Linked DNA regions of Ovis aries. The protein of the gene in region 4 purifies or fractionates together with the protein of the main gene of each other region. This does not show direct contact. Links are inferred from orthologs where the notes say so. Each region holds a gene or a part of one and is shown on either strand. Other genes may lie near its edges.

Region 1 (6,072 bases), on a different chromosome or scaffold from region 4:
ACAATTAGTTCTTTCTTCAAAAGAAGCACTTAAAGTTAAAAATATTTAAAATATTTCAACATGTTCTAAAGAATGTTACATAAACTCGAAAGTATAATCTTATTTCAAGGTGAAAGCTCAATAGACATTCTAACAAGAGAGTAAATTCTAAGGATAATAAAATCTTTGCAACAGGAATGCCTCGTGTTTTTAAAAAGCACTTTAAAACCACGATATCCTTCCATCAGTTACAAATATAAAGACTTCCTACCATGAAATCAACCTATAAAATCCACAGATTGATGTAATCTGCATCAATTTATAAGAATTATGAACTCAAAAAAAAAAAAAAGAAACTGAAAGGCAAAGGAGGGGGGCATTTCAAAGTTAATATTATCAAGATCACAAACAGTTTCACTAGCAATAAGGTTTTTTCATACGTGATAAATTCATTACCCTGTAATAGGAAAAAGATTATAGTATTTTGTAGTCTCTAATATTTAAGCATCCAGAAAAGCAAGCATGCTTTTTTTTAATCAAATTTTAACCTTATTTGGACTTGTGGCACCAGTATCTTACTCCTTACTCTGAAATGAGTAAGAATTACTTATTCAAGTGAGTATCTAATAAAAATTACGTCAAAACTCCACTTGCTGAAGTATTACTGGACCAACTACTCACAGTCTCCTAAAATGACATAGTAGATAGACATTAAATTTAAAAAACGAAAAAAACAAAAACCTGGCACATACTGCTTGTAGCTTATTTAAAGAGAATAATTCTAACTCTGGTGAAGTCGAACTAGCAGGGGACTTGAGAACCTTTGTTCAGATCCAGCTCCACCACTTCCATTCCATAGTTACTGTTTTGAGTAAGACACTTAACTTGCTTCTTCTCTGTTTTTAAGTCTTGCACCAGAGTTGTGAAAATGACATGATTGGCACATTTAAATCCTTCAGTGCTACTAGGCAAGTACGTGTGTATGCTAGGTAAATGGAACAACTGTGGAAGACGCCGAATTGTATGAACTAATGTCAACTTTTAAATATCTACTGGTACCAACGAAGGCGTATACAGTAAAACGACAAATAACATGCTTCGTTAGGCAGTTCACACCAATCTTTTAATTTTCTTAAAGACATTCTCCTTCCTATCCTGCATACATAGTTCAGGACAATTTTTTCAAGGTTTGCAGTCTATTTTACCCCATTCAAGGTTATTTCCTTAGATATTAAAATAAATGTCAAATAGAATTTGATGCTGTATTTTCAAAATATTTAGGGCTGTGAATTCCTCATAATACTAAATATAAGCCAAGGTGTTCCTTTTTTATCAGTTAACAATAGAATTCCTAGAACTTTAGAATACTTAAAACTTTCAAATCCAATATCGATGGTTAAAATTCTACTGCTCATCCAAACATTAGCAGACGGTCAAAATAATTGCTAACATACTTTAGATGCAGTACAATACGCATGACGTGGTTCTGTTCTAGCAAAATAAAATACATTAACAACCAATTAGTTAAAATATGAAATCTTCTGGAGATGAAAAATAATGACAATAACATCTGAAACATACCGTAACAATGAGTATCTTAAAGCCCCCAGAAAATGAAGCGCATTTTTGTCAGTCTCCACACTTTCTAAAAAGCTTTAGAAAACTACTACTAATCTCTTCAGAAATCTCGCCAAAACATGACTTTAAATACTATCACCTAAAATCACGGCTCTTGTTGAACCATTAGTGTACACAGATTTTAAAACGCATACTAACATGTTGTACCCTAAGACTGCATTTTGTTACCACTGCAACTCTCTTCGGCTCGGTAAAGTTACCTTAAACGACACCAACTCATTATTCTCTTACACAACGATGTATACAGTTTGAGAACTTTCTCCCCAGTTTGACCACCAACCAAATAAAGAGAGATTATTAAAATCATTTTGGAGACCAGGTTAAGGAAGATACGAGGAATTCTGGAAGCGCTAGTCAAATAGAAAAGAATAGTCTTTTTTTTAAGTAAAAGAAAAGTGATGGTTGGGGTCCCCCTCCCTGAACAAGGAAGTTCTCTTACATCCAGGCGAGACCAGCCATGTTGGAAAACACTTGTCAGTTACAGTTGTGACAAGTCTTCGCCAACATCGCCCGGGGAAGCTAACCTTGTGTACCGAGGTGTGTACATCAAGGCCCTCTTCGGCTCCGCCGGAGGTTCTGGGCCTACTTTGGGGATGGTTTCCGAGTTGGAGCCGTCCTTCGGTCCGAACGGAGCGCAGAGCCGAGGGGGAAAGAGGGCGGGGAAAGGAGAGTTGGGGGGAAAAGGGTTTTGAAGAGTTGGAAGCCGCTATCCGCAGCGAGAGGGGCGCGGCGGCAGGGAGAGGTTTCCGAGTTGAGAGCCGGGGGGGAGGGGGGAGGGGCCGAGGATTCGGGGAACAGGGGGGACTCTCAGCAGAAAAGTCCCCCTCGGAGGGGCCCAGGAGCGCCAGAGGAGGAAGGGAGGCGGAGGAACGCTTCGGAGCACTGACCTGTCCTCCGAGTCCATGCGGCTCAGGGGTTCCCCATCCGACGACATCTCCAAGCTGCCTCGCCGGCCCCCAGAGGTCGCGCTGCTTCCGCCTCCCCCGGTCCCGTAGCCCTCGTCGCCGCCGCTGGAGACGACGCTGCTGCTGCTGCTGCCGCCCCCGCCGCCGCCCTGGCTGCCCCGCGGTCCCTTGGGCTCCTCCAGGCCCTCCTTGCCGTCCCCATCCCCGCTGCTGCTGCTGGCGGCGCCGGGGCTCAGCGAGCGCGTCTCGTCGCTGCTGCTCCCGCCGCTGCTGCTGCCCACCAGGCTCTCGGCGCTGCTCTCCTCCTCGCCCCCGCCGCTGCTGCTCTCGTCCTCCTCCTCCTCCTCGTCGTCCTCCTCCTCGTCGTCGTCCTCCCCGGCCTGGCTGGCGCTCTCGGGGCTCGGCTCCGACATCGTCTCCGCCTCGCCGCCCCCCACTCCGCCGCCGCCCCCACCGCCGTTCAGCAGCAGCGCCGCCACCGCCTCGGCCTCCGCCTCCTCCTCCTCTTCTTCCTCCTCCTCCTCCTCGGGGGGCTCAGCCCGGCCCCGCGCCGCCGGCCCGGGGCTGCCGGGGGGCAGAGGGCTCAGGCGGGAGAGCTCCTCCAGGTCGGCCATGTCGGTGAGAGCGGCGGCCATGGCGGCGCCTGCTCCTCCTCCTCCTCCGGCTCCTCCGCCTCCCCGCCGCCGCCGCCGCCTCCCTCTCTCGACTCTCGCTCCCTCGTCCCCCTCCCAAACGCTCCAAACTCGGCCGACGCCGCGGCAGAGGGGGAGGAGGGCCCGCGAGCTGCGTCAGCCTGCACACGCGCTACGGAACCCGCGCGGGGACAGGCGCGCCACTGCGCGCACTCACGCGGAGACGGCTGCGCGCCTGCGCGGCGGCACGCGGTGGCGCCTCCCCTCGGCCGCCGGCTCCGCGCCCGCGCCCCCGGCCGCGCCCCCTCTGGGCCCCCGCCCCGGCCCGCCGGGACTCAGAGTTTCCGCGGGGCCTGCCCACGCCTTCCCCGGCCGCGCGGCGGGCGGAACACGCGGAACGAAAAGCTGGGCGCCGGGCGGGGATTCTAACAGCCCCCGCCCCGAGGGCTCACGATCGAGTCATTCATTCCGGGAGTGTTTGGGGAGCGTCCCCGGCGCGCGGGCGCTGAGCCAAGAATCGAACAAGTCCCTGGGCTCCTGAGAGCTGACAGTCTAAGAGGAGAGGCGAGGAAAATGAGTAAAAATGAATAATACAGTGCTAGGTACTGAATCCATACGCGCGACGCAGAGCCACAGGTTTTTATCTAACCTACGTTCGAATACCCCGAGGACTGGTTAAATCTCAGTCTGAGAGCAAACATCTGTGGGCAAGAGCTTCAAACTTTTTAGCTCCTGAGCCCTCTGAGACGATTTTGTACATCTTCGTACATCCACATGTTTAAAGTGACAACCACATTTTTTCCCAGCCTCATAATTTACGACTGTCACACTTTTGTAAATGTAGTCAACCAATGAATCCTAAATGCCATACGGATTTAATACCCACCAATATCTTTTAAAATACAGTCTCGTTTATACTTGGGCAATTTCCATCCTTTATCCTCTGGAGCTCATTTACATTTTACATCTCGCAGAATTTTATCCTAATATTTTATATTTGAACTGTTTTATTGTTCATCTTATATATTTCCTGTATACATCTTATATACACAAAAAAATGTGTATCGAAATTGAAATTCAAGGGTTGTTTCTAAATCTCCTGAGATCATAACACTCAACACTTGTTTCAACTGATCAAAACAAATATATTTCAAATATTTACAAATAGATACTAAACCCTCAAATTGGAATTTTGTTGACAATGCATCTTACAGAAATGAAATTGAATACTTTTTTAAAAGCTGTATTATTGATCAGTGGACGAGTATTTCTAGAATGAAAATGAGATGATTCCATTCAGTTACAAACTTTTAATTCCTTGAATGTAAGCACTGAAAAAACTTGTTCACATTAATAAGTACATGAGAATGAATGGAGTTTTGTCAGAGCAATGCAATTCGATTCTTTGAACTCTTTCTAAATTATATGTCCCCAAAAAAATCACATAAAGATCTAACAAGAAAAAAATACTTTTAATGATCTATCCGTTGACAACTCTGACTAGGTTCTCTTTCAACTTTGTCGAAAGCAAGTAATTGAACACCACCTGACTTGTAAAAAGATGTGTTACTCATTCTCATTCACCACTCGATTGTTCCTTTTTCTGGTGTCCGGGAGGATTTTGCATACCCTGCTAGGTAGGTTAGGAAGATGGGTGAGGCAGAGTTATGCCTTTCTTTTGCAAAGCAGTGAAGGGTCACTTGGGATAAGGGAAGCTGGAAAGGAGCCCACCTCACATCTGACCCTGAGGCACATTTTCAGACAGATCAATTCTAGGTGTAAGAGAAGGGAGAATCAGAGAACTGATTGCCTTAAAACAGGCTCTGCACTCAAACACATCTTAGAAAGTCTTCATACATCATGAATACCCCAGCATTATGTCTACAGCCTTAGGCCTTTGGACAGCTTTGTTCCGTATGTTGCATCAAAAGAAAGCAAAAATAAAAATAATAAATAATACCATGGGGCATTATGGCTCACAGATACCTTCACAACGCTCATACAAGGCAAAATGCTAACCACAAACATTTCAACCTCAAAGCCACTCTTTGAGATAGACTGAGAAAGTATTTTCATCCTCCTGTGTTGTCAGTTAAAAACTATCATAGTTTAACTGAAAAGCGTGTATTAAGTGTATGTGCCAAGCACTGTATTAAGCCCTAGAGATTTTGGCTGCGTTTGGCAGACGTACTAAAGGAAAACATCATGAAGAATGTAGGATTTGAACAGTTGTGTACATAACATACAATACATTTACGATGGAGCCAGATCTTGAAGATTGAATAGACTGAGAAATCTGTGTGAGGGGGAATTCTAAGACTGAGACATTGGAAAAGCATAAAAATTTAATTTGTGACTGTTAAGCATGAGAAAATGAAGTTACAAAAGTGAAAAAGACTTCAAGATGAGATCACAGAAAACGCTAAGTAAAAAAATGTTGACTTTGAAAGATGACAGAGTGAGTGAGTGAGTGTGTGTGTGTTTGTAGTCAGAAAAATTTTTTAAGGTGTGATATGATTAAGTTATGTTATAAGGTTATCTAATGTTACAGGTGATATGGAGAAAAACGTGAAAGGATGGAAACGTGCATGGCAATTAGGTAAGTGGAAATGGCAGGTATCAAACCCACAAATGAATGCTCTGACTGCAGTATTTCTACTTGAAGACAAAAACAAACTATCTTAGAACTGGCTTTCTGGAAAAAAAAAAAAAAAAAACAGCTCTTGTTTCCCATCACTGGAGTAGTTTTTTTTTAATTGCAAATTTTTTGAAAAATTGAAAGAATTGGATAATAATGAACACTTATACACCTGCTTGCCTGTGTGCGTATGTGTGTGTGCATGTGTGTTACTTGCTCAATTGTGTCCAGCTCTTAGCCCACCAGATTCCCCCGTCCCTGGGATTCTCCAGGGAAGAAT
Region 2 (6,267 bases), on a different chromosome or scaffold from region 4:
TCCTTTGCTGTTCTCAGTTATGGGATGATTTAACGGAAACCAATTCTGGGACATTTAAACTCACTTATGCTTTTACTCAGATGCAAATTGGCTCCAAGCAGTGAAGTCATCGCCATGCCAACCTCTCTACATCTGTCTCTCACCATCCTATGAAACCTACTGCTCCTGGTGCTTTCCCACTTCCTGCTAACAGTACTACTCTGGTCCCCAGAACAACCCAGCATCTTTGACTTCTCCAACCTATGAGTTGCCACAAGCAGCCAACTTCAAGCACAGTGATTTCTGGCTTCCTCTTGTCCATCTCCCTGGCCTGGTCTGAGTTCAAGCCTCATCTTGCCTGGGCCATTGATTTATTCATTCAATAACTGTTTCATGCTCACTCAGCTGCTGGGCACCTGGGACGCAGAATGGTACCACCTAGGCACAGCGCTAAACAGGCCACTCCCTGTCTTCCTGCCTCCCCACCAGACTCCTCTCCAGGGCCAACAATTTCCCATCTTCTTCTTCTCCCAGAAACCTCCTGTGGTTCCCCAAAGCCTTCAGTGGCATTCAAAGTCCCCCACCCCAAGGCCCTCTCCTCCTCAATCTGGGCTCACCTGGCTCCAGGCGGCTCCACACACTCTCCACTAAGCACAGCCCCCTCTGTTCCCTGCACCCACTGTTCCAGTCCCCTCCTCTGTCCAGGCGCTGGGCACCTGGTGTTATGATTACCTGTAGATTACAGGGAGACAGTCGTGTGTGTGTTTCCGTGTGAGTGCGTGTGTGCTCCTGTGAGGCGGTGTTTGATGTCTACAGCTCTGTGGCGGCGAGTAAAGGAAACGGAGCACATGCGTGTGCATGTCAAGGGCCCCGGGGCACGCAGGGCATTGCTGGGGTCTTCACTCTCCAGATGGTGGCGCGGCCGCATCCTCTTCCCTCCCCCCGCCCAACTCCTCCCTCCTCTCCAGGGCACAGCGCACAGGCGCCGGGCAGGGTGTGCGGTCCAAATCTCTGCCTTCTCCCTGCCACCTGGCTGCCGAGCGCTGCAAGGTCCTGCCCCGCCGGGCCTGGCCCGGGCCCGCGGCAGGTTCACAAACTGACACTTCCTCCCCCGCCGCGCCGTTGGGAGCAGGCCCAGTCGCCGCACCCCCCTCCCTGACCGGGCGGGGGCCCTCGGGTGGCGGGCCCCCCCTCCACCCGCGCCTTCATCCTCCCGGAGCGGGCCCCCGCGGGCTGTGATTGGCTGATTCAAACCCATCTGCAAAGAAATGCCTGTTTGCGGGTTCTCGTCGGCGTCCAGTTCAAATCCGCGGCCCCCGGAGCGCGGGGCCGGGCGGGGGCAGGAAGCAAGGATGATTCATGCGCCGGGGCCTCTCCCAGGGCGGCCGTTGGCTTTTTAAAAAGGGTGTTCGGGAGGGGAAAACGCTTGCAGAAGGACCCCCCTTCGGGTTCAAGCGCTCCGATCTTCAATCGCTCCGACGCCAGGCCTCCCCCCATCCCCATCCTGCTGCAGCCTGACTTCGGACGTGAGCAAAATCCCAAACGGCCCCATCGGTCTCCAGGCCCGTCCCCCCACCAAACAGGAAAAGTAAAGATTTGGGGCACGGGAACAGCGACCTGTCACACACGCCACCCCCCCCCCCAGAGGCTCGGGAACCCGGGCGGGGCTCCCGCCGCCCCGCAGACACCGTGCGCCCCTCTCCACCACCCCGCGCCCCCGCCCCCGGCGAGCATCTCCCCAGGACTCCAAACCCCCTCCCGGCCCCGAGGCGTTTGCCCCGCCAAAGTCCAGGGAAACTTCCAAAAGAGGGATGACTGCGGCGAGAGGCGAGAGCGGCGAGGAGTCCCCGGCCCGGGCCGGCCGCCTGCAGCGCTGAACTCACCGCGAGGCTGCGTGTCCGCCGGTCCCACTTGGAGTCTGGCCACCAGGCGCATCGGCGGCGGAGGCGGCTGCGCTCGGCCCGCGGCTGCCCGGCCGAGTGTCCGCCCGTGGGGCCGGGGTCGGGGTCTCGGCGGGGGCGGGGCGGGGCGGGGGCGCCGGGGGGAGGAGGGGGGCCGGAGCAGGAGGAGGGAGGGGCCCGGGCGCTCAGGAAGGGGCCCCCCGGGCGCGGGGCGCCATCTTTTTCGCGTTTTCCCGCGAATTATTGACGTCCCGCTTATGTAATTAGCGGGGGCCGCGCCGGCCTCGCCATTGGAGCCCGCGGTCGCGGGGCCCCGCCGCGCCGCCCGCCCGCCCCCGCCCCCGGGCCGCCCCCGCGCCGCGCCCCGGCCCGCGCCCCCGCGCCCGCGGGCGCGCATCCCCCGCCACCGCGCGCCCGGCGCAGACACGCGGCGCGGGCGCACACGGGCGCGGGGCCCCGGCACGGCCCCTCGGCGGCGGCGCGCGCGCGGCGCCCGGGCCGGCGCACACTTGTCGAGGAAACCCGGCTCTGCGCGCCGGGCGCAGACGTCAGCTGGCGGGGACACACAGCGGGGAGGTGCGGGGGCGCAGGGACGCGCTGCCCGGACAGACCTGGAACAACCCAAAGGGGACTAGCACAACAGAAACACACACGCGTCCTGCGCTTGCAGCGGAGACGGCCTGCGTAGAGACACGGCGCGGGGCACAAACGCAAGCTGAGCACTCAGGATCTACAGGACAGAGCACACATTAACACAGACACGCAAGAGTGTACACAGCGCAGACACACAGCAAAACAGGCGCATAAAGCAGACAGGCACAGCGCCACAACACAGTAACACGCCAGAGGAAGAGGACACCAACAACAGATCGCACACAAAGCCAAGCGGAGAAACACAACACAGAGATACAGTTGGAAACACCCCGCGACACACGCACACACAAACACAACATTCAAATAAGTGGCGCCCGGTGAAAGCATACGGAGTCAGAGGAATAGCGGATTGAGGCTGGGGGCACGGCTCCAGTCATGATCGGCCCTGGCCCTGGGGAGGATGGGCAGAAATGTCCGCGTCCGGACTCACTCTCTGGGGAGTGGGCCTTGGGGTACTGTCTCTCTGGCTGGCTGGGTCTACCCTTGTTATGCGTAAGGCAGAGATTGCCAGCTCCACGGGGCGTGGGACCCTGAGCAAAGCATTTCAACTCAAACTTCAATCTCCTCTAGAGTTGTTGGGAAGGTTGGGGTTAATGTATGCAAAGCCCTCAGCGGCCAGTGGGTGTGCAATAAGTGATAATTGTAACTTTGTCAAGAAATCATGTACTCACCGAGTGCCCCCCCCTCCTCCCGCAGCAGTGAGACTAGAACTGGGGGCAGCGGGACTCACCGTCTCAAGGGGGAGCCAGGGGTTGGCCCAGGCAGCAACAGCAGGGATATAAACAGGAGGGGCATGGTGTGTAGAGCTGGACGCGGAATCGGTGGAGTCCTGGCTTCAAGTCCAGCTCCGTCTCTGAGCGGAAGGGAGATGCTGGGTGAGCTAGTGCCCTGGTAAACCACCTTCCCTGTCTGTTCAAAGAGTGTAAACGACTACCTTGTGCCACAGGACCACTGCAGAGGTGAGGCCAAAACAGCACAATAAAGAGCTGTGCTTTTGTAAATGAAAAAGTAGTGGGCAAAATGCAAAGCTGCTTAAACACGACAAAGGAGGAGTAATAAATGCCACTAGAAAGGTATAGTTTCACCTGCGAGTCAGAGGCAAACCCAGCTTTGAGTTGAGAAGAGAGGAGAAGGGTTGCAGAAAAGGTGGCATTCAGATGGAATGTGGAGATAGGAGGGAGGCATTCCAGGCTGGGGGCGTGGTGTGTGCTGGAGGCCTGGGACTAAGCGAGCTGGGTGTCCTTTGGGTTGGAGTTCAGGGTGCGCAGGTCAAGCCTGGAGGAGGAGGAGCTGAGTGTCCTGGGCTGAGTTTGGTTTTTAGCCCACAGGCGAATCAGGGCCACTGAGCAAGGCCCTGTGGCCTATTCTAGAGTTGTGCGTGTTCTAGAGGGAGCCGCAGGGAGTTTAGAACAGAGAAGGGCCGTGAACTGAGTCTGCGTTGGGAGGATCTGGCAGAAGTAGGTTGAAAGTATGGACAAACGAGAGAAACACAAATAATCACTTTTAAAAAACGAGTTAACACAGGCAGTTCACAGAAGAGGAAACCGAGGTGGCCAGAAATATGAAAAGATGTTGCGCTTCACTGGCCATGGGAGAGATGCAGATGCTAAGAGCTGGGAGACACCATTTTGCGTCCACGCAAGCAGGGCAAGCAGTCAGCAGTCCCTCAGCGCGGGGAAAGGGGTGAAGGGAGTGAGGATGCGGCCCCCTGGGAACCCTGTACCATCTTGGTGGAGACGCGAACAGATACAGCTTCTCTGGAGAAGAAGTTTGGAAAATTCTAATAAAGTTGAAGATGCTCTTATCTACCGTTTAGTGACTTCCCTCCCCTTACTCAGCATGTAGTTGTAAAAACTGAGGAGTTGATGAATTGTCCATCGACAGATAGATAGACTGTTATCTCTTTGTGCAATGGAATAATATACCGGGAGGGAAAAGAAACTCAGGCTATAGCTTCAACATAGGCACAGTCTAGAAAAGTGGTAAAATAGTGCAATATTAAAAAGGTTTTTTTTTTAATTTAAAACTATGCTACATATGTATTTTTAGGGATACAGTCAGATAGTAAATGTTAAAACATGCATAGGAAATCAAAGATACTAAATTTAGAACAGCAGTTACCCCTGGGTACGGAGGGATGGGAATGAGATCAGAAAGAGGAACACAGAGGGTTTAATCTGTACTGTTCTATTTTTCAGGGAAAAAAAATCTGAAGTATATATGGCAAGCTGTCAAGACTTGGCAAAGTTGGGTGGCTTGTCTGTAGTTCTTTGCATTGATCCTTCTTCTCAGGTCTAAAACTTTTTTCCTCCATTTTCTGTATGTTTGAAATATTTGGTAATTTTAAAGATGGGATGTGCAGAGAGATTACAGCGAAGGAAGTTTGGTCTCAGCACTGACCCGTCGTGTGTGCTGGGCCATCAGCTCTCAGAGTCCTGACATGTCTGCTCCCACGGTTTGGTGACGAAGGCACGGTAGGCGTTGGGTCTGTCCACTGGCGAGGGAACAGAGGCTTGGAGACATGGGGTGACTTCCGCAAGGCCACACACAGGAGGGAGGAGTCCCCTTACCCTCAGCTGTGTCTCGGGAGACCGGCAAAGGCCGAAGAATGTCAGGAAGAGGTCTTCCACCTTGCAGAAATCAATCTTCTTCCAACTGCTGGCCATTTCTGTTTTTACTTTCCATTAAGGACACCTTGGAAAATATAAAAAAGCCCAAGGGAGAAAATGAAAGTGACTTGTGCTTTTCACTGTCTTATTTTTAAAATTTATCATTTTTGGCTACGTTGAGCCTTTGTTGCGACGTATGGGTTCCCGGACCAGGGATTGAACCCCCGTCCCCTGCATTGGTGGGTGGATTCTTTACCACTGGACCACCAGTCAAGTCCCTGCACTGTCTTACATTTTAATTCAGCTTTATTGAGGTATATATCACAGACTCAATGGACATGAGTTTGAGCAAGCTCCGGGAGATGGTGAAGGACAGGAAAGCCTGGCGTGCTGCAGTCCCTGGGGTCACGAAGAGTAGGACAGGACTGAACAACAGCAACAAATAATTCACATAAAATAAATTCACCTACTTTTAAATGTACAACAGTCTCTTCATTCTAGAGGATTTGATTGGTTTGGAAACATTTGAGTACTAGCCCACTTAGTGTGTATGGAAGTGCTCTTACAAAGAAGAAAAATGCTTTTCATGAATTCGAATAATTATGATTCTAATAAAAGTTTTGGAAATAATTAAGATACAGGTGTTTCCATCGTTGAAAGTGGGTGGCCAGCAGGGTGGGCCTGTGTTTTATTGCCTGAATTTAGGGGTCAGTTTATAACGGCCTCGGCAGGGAGGTGCTGAGAGCTTTCAAATTATGGTAGAAAGGATGATTGTTAACACGATTTAAATTCTCTTTTTCTTTTAAAGAAAGAAATAGTTGACAGGGTTAGATTGTGGCCTGTGGAAGTGCTTGTGGCCTTGGTTGGCTGCCAGGCCATAAACAGCTTTACCTGTGGCTTTTGTGGGGGAAATGGGAGACATCAACTGTCTGTCCTCTCCGTGAGCCCAGGAGCGCCTCCGCTGGGATTCGGATCCTGGTGGCCCCACCCCGTGCCTCCCAAGCTTGCAGTGCAACCAGGGGTGGGTCCCTTCTCCTCTGGATTGATCTCCCTGTCTGTTAAAGAACAGCCTTATTCACATCTGCAACATTCAGCAGCATGAGGGGCAAGCATGCCAGGTATTC
Region 3 (6,135 bases), on a different chromosome or scaffold from region 4:
TGGACTGCAGCCCACCAGGCTCCTCCATCCATGGGATTTTCCAGGCAAGAGTACTGGAGTGGGGTGCCATTATAAATATAAAACAGGCATTATATTTCAAGCTATTAAAGTGTAGAGTTAATGTCTGCATTTCAGTATGTCTAAATTTTCCATTGAAAAGCTCATTATACTTCTGTTCACTTTGTATCTGTTTGAAAGTTTATGTGTAAAAATAACAAATTATTTTAAATAGCAAAGTAAACTAATTTTCCTAAAACTCGTTTCTGTTGTTTCTGACAAAAGAAAAAGAATCTTGCATCTTAAAAAAGACAAGAGACATTGCTACCTTCATTATTCTTTTGCAATGTTATGTGAAAACATATATGACAGAAGACATGGTGTGTGCAAAAATGAAGATTACTTCACCTTAAAAAGTTACAAAGGGAATGTGAATCCCTTCAGTTCAAAGATAGTTCCTTACCTCGGGTTCGTGTGGTTTCCATGGTTAATGGGTGTGACAATTCCTAATAAACGGATGCAATACTGTGCCGTCCCATACAGCAGTCACATATGGCCATTTTAATTTTAGTTTAAATGAAGTATATTAAATTATAAATTCAACTATCAGCCTCACCAGTTACATTTCTAGTATTTAACACCACATGAGCCTATGGCTACCATACTGGGTACAGCAGATATAGACAGCTGCCATCACTGCAGAAAAGTTCCACTAGAGAACACTACTCGAACACATTAAAAAACATCCACAGAGAAACCATCATAGTCCAGTTCCAGGTTGTTATACTGTATTTTGGGCTTCCCAGGTGGCACTAGTGGTAAAGAACCTGCCTGCCAATGCAGAAGATGTACAAGATGCAGGATAGATCCCTGGGTCAGGAAGAGCCCCAGGAAGAGAACACGGCAACCCACTCCAGTATTCTTGTCTGGAGAATCCCATGGACAGAGGAGCCTGGCGGGCTCCAGTCCATATGGCCGCAAAGATTCAGACAGGACTGAAACAATTGAACACACACACACACACTGTATTGTGCTACAAGAAACAAATCTTGAAGAACAGGGAAAACAAAGCATAATATATCAACAAAGAAATACCATTCATGGAAGTTTAGACTAACTAGAGTTAAATTTTACTTTCAGAACGACCAAGCTACAGATGTTGGCCTTGGCAACTGCTCAGAGGCAAACTTCCCCATGTGTTAAACTAGATTATCACTATACTGCCAGTTTCCTAAAGTCAGATGTAAAGATTATGCTGAAATATAAAGCAAAGTATCCTGTCAGTCAAAGGTCTAATGAAAAGGTCTATTTATAATCCATGACATCAAAGAGTTTATGACCCATAGCAAAATACACGGAATAAAATTAATTTCCTACTCGAATTCTGAGGTAACAGGTGTAATTAACAGCATAATTAAATACATTGTTTTACCTAGATATAATGTTTAGCCAGATGATTTCTATACTTCTAAAACTGTGAGAGCGCTTCATCCGGATAGGTATAGATTTCGTTAATGCCCACTGACATGAATGTGCAGTATCAGGAAACAGGTGCACTCTTAATTCAAATATTTTAAAATATTTTTAGCACTTAAAAAAAAATGGAGGCGAACAAATTTAAAATGTGAATTCAAATAGATTTTTATATTTGGAAACCTAGAAAAATAAAAACAAAAAGCTTCATCTCATATTCCCATCCCAAGTTATCACCACAAACGCTTGGAAAGTGAACAACATTCCAAATATCAAGGGATCGAACCGGGGGCTCCCGCATTGCAGGCGGATTCTTTACCAGCTGAGCTCCCAGTGAAGCCCAAGAATATAACAGAAATTTAAAATCAGCTCTTTCCTTGCTAAAACTACTGGGCACTTGAAGCTTAGTCAAATCAATTCTATTTAAAGCATTTCAAACCACCGAAAAGGTCACTCATTAATTGACGCACACTTTATTTTATCCACACTAAATACTTTTAAAGGCACTGTCTTTACAATCCACTACCAAAGAAAGAAATTCTCGAGAATGAAAACATGAAACTGAAACCAACCTACAGCCAAGGTGTACAGAAGGGTCACCTGGAATCAATCTGAAGGAGAAAGTTACTACTACCGGAGCATCTGGAGTCAAATAAGGAACTATATACATACTTCTAGTTCTATACTGACCTCACATGGTGCTTTCTTATATTATACACAAGCCTACCTAGGTTTATATATTTGAATTAGTAAATGGACTCTATCTTCAACCAAACTTAAATGTTTTAAAGAACAGAACAGTATTTCATACCCCTTTTCCCATTGTTCTCGAACCCTTACAGTTCATCAAATCACCCCGATCAATCTATCTCATCTGTTCCCGCTAGTTGCTTCCAAAGAAAAAGTCTAACAACCAAGGACGCCACATTGCAAAACACAGTTAAGAGTTCTGGCACTACTAAAACATGTTAAGAAATCTTGGCAAATTAGTTAAAATCTCTTAAGCCGTAATTACCTCAGTTGTAAAGTGAATACAATGATACAAATCTACATCCGAGCAGGCATTAAGAGTTAGACTTAATTAAACAGAAGAATTGCCTCCGATTTTTGGTGGGCTCTGAATATAAGGTACCTCTCTCCCATCTCACATTTTTCTTCCACTTCTTCCCTTTAAGTTTGCAGGGTTTGCTCTCAGGCTCTACTTAGTGTTCCCCTTAACCTCACACTCCATCCTGCCCTTCTACTCTACCCCATACTCCAATTCCATACAATTTCACCCCCCACCTCGTTTCAAGCGGCTACTTCCCTTTGCGCCCTCTAAGGTCCCAGACAACCCCTTCACTCTGGTCCCCAACATCTCCCTCAGTCCCCATTTCCTAATGGCTCCTCCCCTCGGTTCCCCACCCCCTCATCACCAGGTTCATCCTGCCCCTCCAACCGTCTCCCGCCCCCAGGTTCCTTCCTGCCCCTCCAAACACAGCTTCCCCGTCTCAACGTTTCATCTTGTTCCTCCAACCGACTTCCCCCAATGCCCTGCTCGCTCCTTTAGACCCTATTTTCTCCAGTACCCAACTGACTACTCCTTTCCATCCATTCTTTTCAAGGCACCCCCATACACATACTGCAGCCCCCACCCCCACCTTGAGCCTCCATCTTTCCCTTTTGCTTCCTTTCTTCCTCCTCCCCACCCCCTCCACCTCCTCCGGAAGAGCCTGGTTCCCAGGCCAAGGTCTCTCACCTCATTCGGTCACTTCAGTGGTGCCAACCGCTTCATACAGGAAAAAACAACCAATCACGACCCCGTGGGCGCTTCCCTTGCGAGTCCGAGCACTTACTAGGCACCCGCCCCACCGGGCACCCCGCACATACACACGCACAAACCGAGGTCCTGGGGACGAGGGTTGGGGAGGGGTAGAGTGAGCGTTCTTACACCAGCCTCAAACACAGCCCACTTCGCTACAACCCTTCGCCATTTTGGTTTCCCGCGGACTGCCGGTGCATTCTGGGAGAGCGGAGCGCCTCCGGTGCCGAATGGCAGCTCTCCAGAGCCGCGAGGGGGCGGGGACTGCGGGGCGAGCGCGGAAGAACACCGCGCTCTGCGTCCGCGGCTAGGACTGAACAAAGAAGGACTCTTTGACTTTGTGGTGAACTAAGTCCTTCCGCCGCCGGCGCTAACACAATAGTGAACGGTGTTCTCTGGTGTATTGGCTCTTTCTGTTACAGAGGGAAGCTTGTGTTCAGCTTTCACGTTGCATGTTCTGTTCCTGACAAATAGAACGGTACCCCTTACGTCTTGCCCTGCCAATTTTCTTTCTATGGAGAAAATCTCTTACCTTTATCCTGAGGCCTGTTCGAATTTCATTCAGCGGGGAAGAGGCCCGGGACGTCAGAATCACATTTTGTTCGGAGATTATTGTCCAGCTCCAAATTCCTTCCTATCAGGAGATTTTCACACTTTTTTCCCCGACGATGAAAGATTTCTCTGCTTATCTGCTTTGCAGATTCTTAATAATTGTGATGAAAACTGAGAATAATTTCGTCCTAAGTGGTTTATTTTGGGAATATAAAACTTTCTTGTGCTAGAGCAGACCCTTAGCCTACGAATATTCTGCTGCAGATGTCCTAAGTGACAGAGTGAATGCTTATCTCTGTGACTTCTACTTAGATAAAACCCAACTCCTCTTAATAGGCACATATGGTACCTTTGTTTATAACTGTCAAAATACTCTAAAAATAATTTTTAATTTTTGTCTCATTACTTCACAGGGATAATTAGTACCATGTTTTCCCGTCTAGGAAGACAGCCTCAATCTATCTGCTACCTTTCAAGTTTCACTTTTATAATAACCTATTTTCTCATAAATTTGTCTTCAATCCCCTTCACACTTCTGGTTGAATAGAGTTTAATTTATTTTTAAAAAGGTATACGTGCTGTGCAGCTAAATCTAATCACAGAACATCAGTTTTAGAGAACATTTGGTCTGAATTCCCCTCAACAATTCTTTCAAGTGGTCATCAAGTCTCAGCTTCAACATCTTTAGTGGTTCAGTACCTCGGAGGCAGTCTTGCCGATTTCACAAACGCTAATAATTAGAAAGTCCGTCCTTTTATAAATGTACAATCTGCCTTCCTGTAATTTCCACTTACTGGTCTAACTTTTAGCTTCTTTAGCCACACAAAAGTGTTCTGATCTTTTATACCTTAGAGAAGTCAACGATGCCTGTCTTTTTGGGAAAAAAAAAAAAAAAGTTTACTTTTTCCCTATGTAAACATATGAGTACAAAAGTGCAATCATTTCATTTTAGGAAGCCAGGTGCTCAGGGAATCGAGGGCAGTGAGGGAGTCACAGTAAAATGCAAAGAATTTCTGTAACGGTGGTCTCAGAAATTACTGCTAAGTAAGCAATGGACGTGAATCTGAGTGAACTCCGGGAGTTGGTGATGGATGGGGAGGCCTGGCCTGCTGCGATTCATGGGGTCGCAAAGAGTCGGACACGACTGAGCGACTGAACTGAACTGAAGCAATATTGCCATGGGTTAGAACCTTAAGAAGAAACAAATGTGGAACCTCTCAGATGTACAAAGCAAAACAACTCCAGTCCAAGTAAACTGTACTCTTTGTTGTTATGTATTTCTCTGATGGTCATACGGGTTGCTCACAAAAATTCTGGTTCTCCTTTCTTCCAGACAAAGAGTAAAATTGCATTTTACGTAGAGTTAGGTATGGCTGTGTAGCTCATTTTTACTAATTGCATTTTACCTAGAGTTAGGTATGGCTATGTAACTCATTTTTACCTATAAAATGGATGAGAAAATCAATCACTCTCTAGGAAAATCTTTAAGAAGCAGTTGCACATCCCCTCCTGCTTGCTGTGGTGATCCTGGAAGCTTGTGCTGTGATGGAATATCTTTCATTTTGGGTCCCTAAATGAAAACAGGAGAGACTAACATTGTATAACCATCACCGCAATCCAGTTTTAGAAGATTTTCACCACCCTAAAAAAAGTCATTATGTCCATTTATAATCAATACTTGTTCCAACTCCTGCTGTTTCTGCTAAGTCGCTTCAGTCATGTTCAACTCTGTGCGACCCCATAGACGGCAGCCCACCAGGCTCCGCCACCCCTGGGATTCTCTAGGCAAGAACACTGGAGTGGGTTGCCATTTCCTTCTACCCTGCCTGAAAGTAAAAAGTGAAAGCGAAGTCGCTCAGTCATGTCTGACTCTTTGTGACCCCATGGACTGTAGCCACCAGGCTCCTCCATCCATGGGATTTTCCAGGCAAGAGTACTGGAGTGGGGTGCCGTTGCCTTCTCCGACTCCTCACCCCAGGCAATCTGTTATCTGTTGCTGTAGATTTGCCTTTTCTGGCCATTTCATATGAATGGACTCATACAATGTGTAGTCTTTTGGTCTGACCTCTTTCACTCACCACAATATTTTTGAGGTTCATCCACATTGTACCATGTGTCCCTAGTTCTTTCCTTTCTATTGTTGAATAGTACTCCACTGTATGAATGTATTCTATTTTGTCATGTATTCACCAGTTTGGGGCTACTATGAATAATCTGCTATGAATGTTTGTGTACAACTCTTGTGTAGATACTTGTTTTTGTTTTTCTTTGATAGATTCCTACACCTGGAATTGCTGCATTGTATAGTCAGT
Region 4 (5,529 bases):
TAGTATTTACCTCATGGGATGTTTGTGAGGATTAAATGAGATAATACAGGTAAAGTGCTGAACCCAATGCCCCGTTCATAAATACCATGCAAGTGTTATTTAATTATTATTCCTTATTTTGTAATCTAGACTTGTGTTTCTGGCCCTTCCAGATATTTATCAGGCAGAAATGTAAAGATGTCAATACCCAATTTAGACTGAGGAAAATTTCAGGGAACTAAATAAATTGAAAAGTTATTTTCTTTTTACAGACCCTTAAGAGGAATGTATACTTTGATGCATACTGAAGCTATTCAGAGCTACTTGGTTGGACTAAGCCTTTGTTTTGGTTCCTTCCTTTAGATGGCTACTTTTAACCTTTTCTTTGCCCTGGACACTTTAATGAATCCTGTGAAACTTCAGAGTAATATTTTCAAATGTATAAAATACAATATATAAGATCACAAACAAAATCAATGGTAAAATTATAAGGAAGTTATAAAATTGTTTAAAACAAATTTCAGGTTTAATAAAGTACTTTTTTTATTACGTTAAGTAACTAGACATCACAATGACTGATAGTACTGATGGGTATAGACAGCTTTTGAGATCTGCAACAACTATAATGGAATATAAAAATTCATGATTTCCATTGCTGAGGAGGTTACAGCTACAGTAACATTAGCACATATACTGCCTGTATTATAGTAGAAGGAAGTAATAGATTTCGGTTAAAAATGTGAAAATTAAGATGCAATCTTAAATTTATTTATGAATTTATTCAACTGCATAAGTTCACAGGCCCTCTGAATTCCATTCAGGGACCCAGATCTAGGACATAAGTTAAGAGAAGCAGTAAAGGAAGGGAGTAGAGAACTCTGTGTAAAAAATGAATTCAGAAAAAGCTAATAAGGGCAGTGATTTAACTCTTGAGGGAGCTAGATAATGATGGGAAGGCCAAAGGCAAATGGAAGAAAGAATCTGGTATTTGTAAGTTGGAGTTATGGTAATCTGAGCAGTTGATACTGTTAAAGTGAATCAAAGAACTGATAGGATGTTAAACTTTTTTAAAGTTTAGATAAAATTGACCAATAACATTATGTTATTAGTTCTAGGTGCACAACATAATAATTCAGTATTTGCATTGCAGAATGATCAGCACAGTAAGTGTAGTTAATATCGGACCTATTTTAAGTTCATTGTATATGTACCTGCCATTTTATTAACTTTTTCATATAAGTGCAGCATAATTGGCTTCTGAAAGAATACTGATTGTTGCCTGGTAGTAAGATCAGAAGGCTGAATCTGAAGACTTGACTTTGCTTTAAGGAACCTGTGGCAAGATCAAGGGACAAACTACTATCCCCATTTCCTTGTTGAGCAGATGAAGGTGGTAGTGCCATGTCTGTTACACAGTACCATTCTGTACTTTGAGGAGGAGGAGTCAAGGTGGATATCATCTTGTGCACATACTAGATGCTCAGGAAAGGTTTGAATTTACAAATAAAATGAAAGCATTGTGAGTATTGCATTTCCATTTGATTCTGTCTTGATTTGACTATTTGAGGAGATGGGTAAATTAAATGGGTAAAAGGTGTGTGTGTGTAATGTTCCCCAGTTATTTACTATGTTTTGTGTGGCTTCTTGATTAGCAGTTGAATTTTTAGCCAGAGTGGAAAGAAGCTGGTGAATAAATGTCTAAGCATTGTATTGTTTCATTTCTCTAGTGTTAAAAGATAATTTTCAGAAACATTTTACTCATGTAAGGGAACTGGTCAATTTAAGTCACACAGTACAAACTATACAGATGAAAGGAATGTAGAGATGAAATTGCAAATGGAGACAAAAACTTTTCTTCAGAATGAAAGGGAAGACATTTTGAACCTCTGCCTTTGGCTGTCCACAGTGTAAGAGGTGTAAGATTGTTCAAAGGCAGTGAAGCAGACTAGAATCTGATAACATGGAAGGAAAGTGTGCAGTAGACATAAGTTTCCCAGTGAAACACAAAATTGTTTTCTACACTAAATTTTAACTGTGTAAATTCAACTGAAAGGTAGGAAGAAATAAAGATTAAAAAGCAGTGATTTCGACCTAGAAACTGAACTCTATAAGTATAGTTTTGTATTTTCTGTATCTAAAAGCTGATTGTGTTTACATTAAGTTACAGTCTAGATATTGAGCACTGCTGTGTGCCATCTATCCACTCCATTGCTTTTTTCCCATTGTAGTGTTAGAATAAGTTGTGTACTTTTTAAAAGCATTTCGTTTTGGTATGAACCATTGGAAGTTTTGGAAACCACCCCTAAAAACTACCATATAATACCATACAGGTTTTAAGCAAATTAATGTGAATTTTTAATGTACTTTTTTGATATTCTAGTGGATTTTTAACTTTCTGTAATATCGTAAAACTAACTTTAGAAAGCAGTAATTTAAAAATAGCTCCTAGGGCAATGGTTTCTAGTCTGTATTCTCATAGATGTTAGTGGGCACTCCATGAAAAAAGCTTCCTCTGGAATGAATTTAGTAACTACTGCCCTAAGGTGATACAGGTTTAAATAAATCTCTTTATGCCAAAGAACACTTTGGAATGTGTAATTGGAAGAGGTAGTGAAATCCTCTTCTGAGAGTAGAGGACCATTAATATATCTTGTAGACTGGAGACAGGATATAAATTAGGTGAATTTGGAAAGATGTTACTTTACAGTGAGCTTCTGGAGGTCTGAATCATGAGTATTTTAGAGCCATGAGTCAGATTTCACTGGTAAATAGCACGTAATATGTAGAACCTAAAAAAGTTTCTAAATGGTTTTAAGTGTTATAAATAAGTAGAGTTTGAGTGATAATCAGGATTTTCATCTAAAATAGGAAGTACTAACACACTGGCCTCAAACAGCCACCCACTGCCATGCTCCAGACTGAGCAGCAAGCAGTCAAATAAACTATGAGGACATGTAGGTCAGTCAGATGTAGGAGTCACAGCTCTGGTTTTCAATCCCAGCAACCCTAACCAGCAAGACACCACCTTAGGCCCTCTAAGCAACACGTATCTAACAGTACGTTGTATGAAGAGCAGTAAAGATGAAGTGAGGCAATGTAGTGTCATGGCTGGCACAAACCAGTGCCTTATTAATTTATTTATTAATAATAAAGCAGTATTATTCTTACCATTAGCATCATCAGGATTTGATTTTTGTTTATATTTTTGCTGAAATAGCAAATATCCACAAATGCTAATGCATTTGCAGGAATACATTTTTTCATTTCTTGCAGGATTTATTAATTACTTCTTTTATGTTGGTCAGCAGCTCTCCAGTTTGAAGTCATTTCCTAAGTACAGTATTGCTGTTTCATATAGTTTTTTCTGATTTGCTGCTTATAGGATGATGCTGTCAGTATAGAAAGCGGTACCAACACAGAACGCCCTGATACACCTACAAATACGCCAAATGCACCTGGAAGGAAGAGTTGGGGGAAGGGAAAATGGAAATCAAAGAAATGCAAATATTCTTTCAAATGTGTAAATAGTCTCAAGGTATGTGGAGAAAGACACAATCTATGGGCTAAATGCAGGGTTCCAGAATTGCAGGTTTCTCAATGGCAAACATTTTATGCTCAAGGTTCTCTGTCAAGTTAAAAATATTTTAAAGTTATAATAGTTGGAAGTCAGTCTTTAAAAATTGAAGTCTTATTTGTAATTGTTTTCAAGAAAAAAGGTATAAATTAAAATTTGTTTTGCATACTTAATATTTGGGAGAAATAATAGGTTCATGTTATTTAGATTACTGTCTTTCTCAATAGTCTTTTTATTATTAAAAAATGTTTACTGATATTTAAGTGTTTTATGTATTCATTTCCTGTTTTTTTAATTTGGGGTTTTTTCCTATACTGAGCAAAAATATACCTTATAGTGTCTTGTGCATATGTTAGATTCTTTTTAAAATACCTAAATATCCTTTTAAAGTCTTTGAAAAGCATAAGAAGCTATGGAAATTATTGGAAATTATTTCCATATGGAAATTATTTTCCTATCTAGGTAGCAAAATCCATTGCTGTGTATGTCAAATTATACTGTCTTAAAAGGAGAGAAATTAATCTCAGTGTTTTTGTGTGTGTGTTTTTCTTCTAAAGCAAAGTGTCCCTTTGTAGTTTCATGTTAATATTTAGGTGTATTAACTTGTTTTTATGTAGTATATTTGGAAAGTGGTTTGAACTGTATTGTTTTTATTAAATATTTCCAAAGCCTAAAACTGTGGCTTTTTAAAGGATAAGAAATGAATGTTATCAGACTTTAAAGTGCCTTAAAGTGAATATGAAGGTTACTGTTAAACATCAGGAAATTGCCAGTAAAATCCTAAGGCTGAAAAATAACTTTATGAACAAAACTTAATACTTTTAGCAGAGGGAACTCTGCTCAGTATTCTGTGGTGACCTAGATGGCAAAAGAGTTTGAAAAAGAACGGGCGTGTGTGTGGCTGAACCACTCTGCTGTGCACCTGAAGCTGACACGGCATTGTTAATCAGCTCTACTCCAATTAAAACCAAAAACTGGATGCTTGTGTTTTAGGCACTTCCTATAACCTCCTGATAACTGTGGAGTTACAGCCCACTGCCTCCCTGGCCCCCACTTTCAAGTGTTCTTATTCATTATAAAACTTCTTAGGTGGTTTTTCTTTTAGGATCCAAATTCAAAGTAATTTTAAATTGTTTCTATAGAACTAATGGTGAGCAGTGATTTGAATGGAATCAATTTTCTTCACTTCACAAGGGAAGAATTCAACCAGAAAACGTTTAATGAGTACTGGAGAAACTGTATTAACTCAGGTTATTTGTTATTTCAGAAAAATAAATTGTGTCCTGAGAGATTAAATGCATTTGTCACAATTATCCATTATATTTTGATTCAAAAGCATGGCATTTCGGTTTAAGAAGATAGAGAGCAACTATTAAAGTATTTTCATTGATGAGTACTTGTTACCTAAGCTCTAAGTCTTTAATTGTTACATAGTTTTATCATGCACCAGTATTTTAAAATGTGAAAACTGGACTAACATATCTTTTAAGTGTCAAAAGTCAGTTTATGTATGATAACATAAAATTGCAGCTTGCATTTTGTGGAGGGGAAGGTTTTTAATGGGAATGATCAGTTTACTACATTTTTTGTTTTTAAAATATATTGATTTTTCTTATTTCTTGGTTATTTTATAGGAGGATCATAATCAACCATTGTTTGGAGTTCAGTTTAACTGGCACAGTAAAGAAGGAGATCCATTAGTGTTTGCAACTGTAGGAAGCAACAGAGTGAGTGTTAAGGGGCTCTTTGGCATTTGGCTCATCAGTCTCTGGTATTAGTGTAACACTGAAGTGTAATGATTTTGAAGTAAACTTTGTATAGCCAATTTGACAGTATCATTTCTTTATGTAAAAATGGAACATTCTAGAAATTGTCAAAAATTAAAACTAATATTCATGACTGAAAATACATCTTTTTTCATATATACTCACAAAATTGTTCATGAAACAAGTCTCTATTTATATTTTGTCTTTGTA

The links. Proteins that work in one complex are often made in the same cells at the same time.
Region 1: the proteins of EED (region 4) and AEBP2 purify together in Homo sapiens (affinity purification with mass spectrometry; 6 studies listed by BioGRID and IntAct, counting the BioPlex papers as one, with this or other methods). This does not show direct contact. The link is inferred for Ovis aries from reciprocal best matches to the Homo sapiens genes EED and AEBP2.
Region 2: the proteins of EED (region 4) and PHF19 purify together in Homo sapiens (affinity purification with mass spectrometry; 8 studies listed by BioGRID and IntAct, counting the BioPlex papers as one, with this or other methods). This does not show direct contact. The link is inferred for Ovis aries from reciprocal best matches to the Homo sapiens genes EED and PHF19.
Region 3: the proteins of EED (region 4) and MTF2 purify together in Homo sapiens (affinity purification with mass spectrometry; 3 studies listed by BioGRID and IntAct, with this or other methods). This does not show direct contact. The link is inferred for Ovis aries from reciprocal best matches to the Homo sapiens genes EED and MTF2.

The regions. Positions count from the first base shown.
Region 1 is NC_056056.1:196,107,129-196,113,200, forward strand, and holds the start of AEBP2 (zinc finger protein AEBP2), read right to left. Parts: upstream 3,447-6,072; 5' UTR 3,158-3,446; coding exon 2,505-3,157; exon of another isoform or gene 2,165-2,504; coding exon of another isoform or gene 2,142-2,164; intron 1-2,141. UniProt on the Homo sapiens protein: Acts as an accessory subunit for the core Polycomb repressive complex 2 (PRC2), which mediates histone H3K27 (H3K27me3) trimethylation on chromatin leading to transcriptional repression of the affected target gene.
Region 2 is NC_056055.1:2,683,676-2,689,942, reverse strand, and holds the start of PHF19 (PHD finger protein 19), read right to left. Parts: upstream 3,447-6,267; 5' UTR 3,265-3,446; intron 2,113-3,264; exon of another isoform or gene 712-2,112; intron 616-711; exon of another isoform or gene 597-615; intron 1-596.
Region 3 is NC_056054.1:70,260,824-70,266,958, reverse strand, and holds the start of MTF2 (metal-response element-binding transcription factor 2), read right to left. Parts: upstream 3,447-6,135; 5' UTR 3,214-3,446; coding exon 3,209-3,213; intron 1-3,208. UniProt on the Homo sapiens protein: Polycomb group (PcG) protein that specifically binds histone H3 trimethylated at 'Lys-36' (H3K36me3) and recruits the PRC2 complex, thus enhancing PRC2 H3K27me3 methylation activity.
Region 4 is NC_056074.1:8,812,429-8,817,957, reverse strand, and holds part of EED (polycomb protein EED), read left to right. Parts: intron 1-3,361; coding exon 3,362-3,514; intron 3,515-5,187; coding exon 5,188-5,280; intron 5,281-5,529. UniProt on the Homo sapiens protein: Polycomb group (PcG) protein. Component of the PRC2/EED-EZH2 complex, which methylates 'Lys-9' and 'Lys-27' of histone H3, leading to transcriptional repression of the affected target gene.